Caenorhabditis elegans: one gene and its partner. The protein of the gene in region 2 purifies or fractionates together with the protein of the main gene of each other region. This does not show direct contact. Each region holds a gene or a part of one and is shown on either strand. Other genes may lie near its edges.

Region 1 (3,442 bases), 2.5 Mb from region 2:
GAGATGTGCAAGCTTCTGGACATTGATTTGATTGTTCGTGGACATCAAGTTGTACAGGACGGATATGAGTTTTTTGCAGGAAAGAAACTTGTGGTATGCAGCATCGTAACTTTATCATAACTTTAATGATTTTTATTTTTATTTTACAGACCGTCTTCTCCGCTCCTCATTACATGCAATCGTTCACTAACAGCGCAGCGGTCTGCAAGGTTTCTGCTGGACTAGAAGTCTCATTTGAAGTGCTGAAACCGGAGGACATTAGGGTGGAGGAGATTAAATGCAGTGCAGAATCTTCTTGTGCATCCGATATGCAACAATGAGACGATGAAGAATGGACTTAGATGATAACTCGCAATACGGCATATAAACATTTTCATGTGATTCAAAGATTGTTCTCGAGTTTACGTTATGGGTCTTAAAGATTCCAGTACTTTACCATATGATTAGACCCGCCTTTTCACTTGCTCTTTGGGACCCAACAAGAGCCGCCAATAGTGGGTCGTGAATCGTCTTAAGATCTTGTTTTCAATTTTCTGAAATCTTACTCTCTTTCCTTATTCACTTGTAATCTCAATTATTTAATAGAATAAAAGATCTAAGTATATCAATTATAGGATTTTTGTTTCCCTTTATCTCCATCCAAATCACTTTTCTCTTCCTCGCTCTCATGCTTAATTGAAAATCTTTTGAATCTCTTCGGATAACGAGAACCATATTCTGCGTTGGTCTTCTCAAGCACCTGAACTGCATCAAAGTATCTTGCCTCAGCTTGAGCAATACTAAACATGGCGAATGTTACTGCAAATGTTCATTTTTTGGCTTAGTGATTAATTTGAAATCAACTCACTGAATGCTTCATGCCAATGAATCAGTTTATCCCGAACGTAAGCTTCGCTGTCCGGATTCTTGTCATTAAGCTTGAGAGAGTAGTAAAAACAGATGACCACATTAAATAGGTTGGTGATGATTACGGTCGTCTGGAATAATTTTTCGTTTCGAAAGTTTATCAGGTTTCTATAATATGCTATTCAAAGTAAAGATACTTCCCGGGGTCTAAAGACTATTTTTGAAAATAAGGCGAGTCTCTATGAAAAGTAGCTACTTATGGCCAAATAGATTTATTTTTCAAGAAGATATTTTTTACAGAAGTTTGATACTCTATTTTGGTAAGATCTAGATGCGAACTACAGTAGCCGTGGATGAAATGCGATTGCTCTGATTGACTTTTTGTTTTGTTGAAAGAAGTCGAAGAAAATTGGCACAATCTTATAAAATACTGTTCAACCCTCTAATCAAACTTACCAAACACTTTTGCACAACCTCCCAATTATGTTTATTTCCATCAAGACCATGAAAGAAAGAGAATGCATTTGATAACATAATAATTAGAAGAGTTACAGAAGTGAAGTGAGGCATTTTGAAATCATATTCTTCTGGACAAATGTAGTATCGAATAGCATTAGATACTTGAAGGAACAGAAATATATACCTATAGCGAATACCAAATAGCTTCGGTGGTTGAATAGACGAATAATTTTTGTTCATGTTTTCCTATCAAAAAGTTCACAGAACAGGTGATAGTTGGGCTCGGTTGAAGAAGAAGAAAAATAAATAAAGAGATGAAAAAGAAAGAAAGGTGCAACTACTTCTACTTCTCCAAGTTCTTCTGTCTTCTGAGCTTCTGGTCTGAGCTTATCAGTATATCAGGATGCGCGTTGCTAAGCAATACTTGAAGCTGCTGCTGAGGGTGGTGAGTGAATTCACGAAGAAGTCAGATGGAGACAACAAGCAAAATGTACACTTCTCCTTCACTCTTTCTCTTACTTATCAATCACCCATGGGAATTTGAGCTGTTATTGTGTGCTAGATAAGGTATATTGCATATCCAATGGGGAAATGAGTAGAAAAATAATTAGATTTTCTTGCTCGATTAATTTCGTTTCAATGATATGATTTCATTTTGAGCGTTTTTTATTAACTTCCTTAGAATTTTACCGTCCAATATTATTATACTATTTACAAATCTGACATGATTACTGTAGATACGCCATGAATGGAAAAACACTGTAAACCGAATCTGAAATGCAAAAGATTCAAGACACACAGTCTGACCAAAATTTTCCAGGCAACATGAATCTCAACAACTTTTTTAACTGTAGAAAATTTTCAAAATGAATTGAAATGTTTTTAAAATACCGATGGTCAACGAGCCAATGTTAAACTTGTATTTTTGTAGACACCAGGGCTGTGCAGCAAATTTCACAATTACAGATTTACTATGTACAAAATTTGAAATTTTTTTTTGAAAATTGCCACAACAAATTTTAAAAGGGAAATTAGATCAAAAACTGATTTTAATAAAATAACATAGGTTTGAATTTTTACGTACTCAGAAAACCTCGAGCCACTTCAGCTTAGAAAAAAATGATTTCTGATTAGCTTTTTGACCAATTAGAGTCACCGTTAGAAATGTTTTTCAGTTGATTAGAAGTGGTCTGATCACAAACATGCAAAATGATTTTAAGCTAATTAGTAAAGTTATCTGTGTCAGTAATTTTGTGCGCTCCAAAAAATATTACAAAAAGATTTGCCAAAGCTCGAAAAACTTCTAAGTCTGCTGCAGATATCTGATTGACACTGCAAGTTTCACATCAATCAGCTTTAAATTTTTATGTTTGTTCACAGAAAAAAGTTGAGATTTACAATTGAAAGCGATATGTTCAGAAAAAGTGTTGCTCGTAGTGTTTTCTTCAAATATATACAGAATGAGAGGAAGTTGCTTAGAAGTGTCTTCTCAAAAACCATTCGGAAACTTGTGGAGGGAGAAGCTTCGAGTAAGCAGCTTGCATTCCACCAGTGGTTTCCTGACGCTTTTTGATGTTTTTAGTGAACATATCACGGAGTGTGCTAGCTTCGCATTCTGTAATTTTAATTTATTGAATTTTGACTGAAAACATGAAATGAACCTTACCTGACAAAATGACAACCAAGATGAGTAGGACGGCTAGAATATTCAAGTTCATTTTGAAATTTTGAGTTTATAATTTTATTTTTAAAACAGTAAATGTTAATTTTCCCATCAGTCTATTTCCTTTTTATAGTGACGGCTCTTGCATCTACAAAAATAGAAAAACCATAAACTCCGCCCATTTTCCCAATGATCGGAGTGACCTCATACGACCACATGCGATCATCGTGATCCCTTCCTACTCCTCCTTCTATTTTTCTATTTTCTTCTGAGAAAAGACAAAAGAAGCGACTAGTTTCTCATCTGTTATAGAAGGTGCACGTTGGTAAAAGATATGATCTATTGGTGGAACATTTGTCCTGGGTGCGAGGAGAGAATTAAAGAACAGTAGGAAGAGGTTGAAGAGGAGTGACGTCACATAACGATTTTCAGGTGGCCGACGAAATAGTTAGTTTTCTCTCCCATTGTATGGGT
Region 2 (3,119 bases):
GTCAATTGTTATAACGTTTTATGAAAGGTTTTAAATTTCTTTAATATTTTCTACATTTGGTTTTGGTAACCATTAAAAAATTTTGGAAATATTGAAATACTTACCTTCTCCTGGGAATACGACACGTCCAGCAAGTCTTGACATTTGTATTATTTTTCGGTGGTTGAGAGATCTGAAATTAAAATAAATAACTATTTCAAATTTGATAATTAAAAGCGGGGAGTGTACAGGAAGTTTGGAATCTATGATTTTTTGCGATGAATATTATTATTGGCAGGTAAATCTAGATTACGGTATTTTTCCTGTTAACAGCTCATATATCAGTCACTATCAGTTATCTTTGAATTTATCAAAAATTATTCAACTATGAAAATATATGAAAACGTTTCGTACGTAATATAAATTATAAATTGTTTTAAAATGCCAAAAATAAATTAGATAGAAGTTGTCAAAGTAGAGCCAAAGGACAGCAAAAGCAATGAAGAGGTACGGTAGCTTGGACTTTGAAGAAAGATTCTAGGTTAAGATTCTAGGAAAAAAAAACCATATTAGAAACAAATGTTCACCACTAAATAGTGAGTTGTCAATAGTGAATGAAAGCAGAAACATATAATCTTTGCCAGCATTGTAAACGCCACCTTTTTCAGCCAAAATCAATCGATACTACCTTATGATCACTTGGTACAGTGGGAAAGATGTTACCTTCTCATATGACGTCACATCTCCAGATATAAACTAGATTGATTTAGGGCTAGACGTACCAATTTGGGTAGAGGTAGGGGAAAGAGAAAACTATGCATTTTATAGAATATCTTGAATTTAATGAGTCTGAGCGTTTCGGAAATTATTTCCTATATCAACTGTATTAGAATTTCATATGTCGTTAGATATTATTTCAGGCAATGACAATTTTATTTAACCAGGAACCAATACTGTTAAAATAGATTTTAGAGACTTATTTAACTTAATTCATGTTTAAATCACCAAAAATGATATCATAGATATAAACCTACAACTTTTAGTAATTAAAAGTCAACTTGAACATAAATTTGACACAATTCCAAAATTTTAAAATTTGACGTTCCCGTTAGGGATGATTAAAAATCGTTGAAATCTATTTAAAGATTAAAATGAAACCAAATGATTTTAGCAGGCGTCTAGGGAAACCTTTCAATAGACTGGAAGTTGATAATATGTGAGGTAGTACGTTATATTGGACTATAAAATGAGGGAAAACCAATAATTTGATTTTTAAGAGGGTATATTTCATTTTAAAATAAAAGAGAACGAAGGGAATAGTCTAACGTGTTATAATCCAAACATTTTTCTTCTAAATGACATTGTAATATTATTTGAATTTTCAGATACTACAGCAATTTCCAGACTTGCAACTTTGCCGCGCTAAACAACACGCGCTACGACACTCCGCTCGCTCGCTTTTTTGTTTTTCACTGTTTTCAGCTGAATTATTTTTCTTTGAAGCGCGCTCGTCATCTTTTCTTCTTTTTTTTCTGAGTTTTCGTAAATATCAAATTAATTAATTTTAATATTCCTGCTGTTACATCTTTCTTAAAAAATCCCTCTGCTTGCCAAGACTATTTGTGAAATTTCAATTTTCAACGCCTTTTCAGAAAATGGCAAGCAAAGGTGCGGCCCGTGTCAGAAAGAAGGAGATTGTCAAAGTTGTTCATGGAGCGTTACTCAGAACCAATATTAAGTGAGTTTTAATTGGAATAAAAAAATACTTCAGCATATCTCAAAACTAATCCGAAAAGTTCAGTATTATTGTGTTTTCCACATAAATTTGCAAACCTATCTCTCAATTCCGAAGTCACAAAAAAAGTATAGTTAGTTTAAAAAAATTAATTTTTCAATAAAGAAGTAAAATAATAATGTAATTCCAGAGCACAAATGGCGTCGGCTGCTCCACCACTTGGACCACAACTTGGTCAACGTGGGCTCAATGTCGCGAATTTTTGCAAAGAGTTCAACAAAGAAACAGGCCATTTCAAACAAGGAGTCCCACTTCCCACACGAATCACTGTAAAGCCAGATAGAACATATGATTTGGAGATTTGTACACCGACGACGACATGGCTTTTGAAACAAGCCGCTGGTATTGGGAGAGGAAAAGCAAGTAAAGGTGAGAAGCATCTTATGTTCAAAGTTTGCAATTAAATCATTTTTTTCAGACGAAATCGTTGGAAAATTAACGGTAAAACATCTGTATGAAATCGCCAAAATCAAATCACGAGATAAAGCTTTACAACACGTCCCGCTTGAACAAATCTGTCGAATGCTGATAAAAACATGTAGAACATTGGGAATTGATGTACAATATCATGATTTGGATCCAGTCGAATTGAAAGAATTTTTAGTTGCCCGGAAAGAGAAAGTTGATGCTCAGTTGAAGGATTTGGCAGATAAAAAGGCGGCGAAGATGCTCCGAACCACTTAATAAATTTTGTTTGGTTATAGGAATATCCTCCTAGGATAGACGTTTTTTTCTAGTAATTTTTGTTGTTTTTGTTCGTTACAATAAATCTCATTTTTATTTTCTGGATTAATTTGATTACCAATCGTTTCCAGCGATTTTCACATATTTTTCCAGAATTTAATACAGATTAATATTTTCGAAAAATTTAAACATTTTCTTTTCACATTTTAATTCATCTCTATTCATTATGCAATACTCTTTTGGTTTTCAAGCATCCGACATTCCTCCGTTTCATTTATGTTTGCATTTCTGCTGGCATGAATGCATTTCATTGTGTCTCGATGAGAAAAAGGACAATTTCATGAGCTTATCAGTTACTTCGTTTTCAAAATTTTAATGTTGACCAGCCATTGATGTCATATTTTGTCTAAGAAGCTCAAGAACTATTATTTTTTGAAGCTTAATTTCGAAGAGCAACATTTTTTTTCATTAAAATTCAGCAGTCATTGTTCTTTAAAAAGTTTTGATTCTCGTTTTTAAACGATTTTTAATTCAGTCGAGAATTGAATAACTTCCCGATTTCCCGGCCACCATCGTTTAATACCTTTTCTTTATGAGACTAACTTCCAAGTATGCAAATTGCAAATCGACGCAAGGGGAATACACTCGCTCACTTCTCATC

Evidence for each region. Proteins that work in one complex are often made in the same cells at the same time.
Region 1: the proteins of mrpl-11 (region 2) and C23G10.10 fractionate together in Caenorhabditis elegans (co-fractionation; one large-scale study listed by BioGRID). This does not show direct contact.

The regions. Positions count from the first base shown.
Region 1 is NC_003281.10:6,212,508-6,215,949, forward strand, and holds C23G10.10 (uncharacterized protein), read right to left. Parts: upstream 1,509-3,442; 5' UTR 1,417-1,508; coding exon 1,303-1,416; intron 978-1,302; coding exon 848-977; intron 799-847; coding exon 605-798; 3' UTR 563-604; downstream 1-562. Other genes in the region: Serine/threonine-protein phosphatase C23G10.1, read left to right, coding at 1-93, 150-320; C23G10.11 (Neuropeptide-Like Protein), read right to left, coding at 2,781-2,920, 2,972-3,023.
Region 2 is NC_003281.10:8,716,013-8,719,131, forward strand, and holds mrpl-11 (Large ribosomal subunit protein uL11m), read left to right. Parts: upstream 1-1,631; 5' UTR 1,632-1,634; coding exon 1,635-1,717; intron 1,718-1,904; coding exon 1,905-2,143; intron 2,144-2,192; coding exon 2,193-2,458; 3' UTR 2,459-2,555; downstream 2,556-3,119. Other genes in the region: B0303.14 (uncharacterized protein), read right to left, coding at 105-144.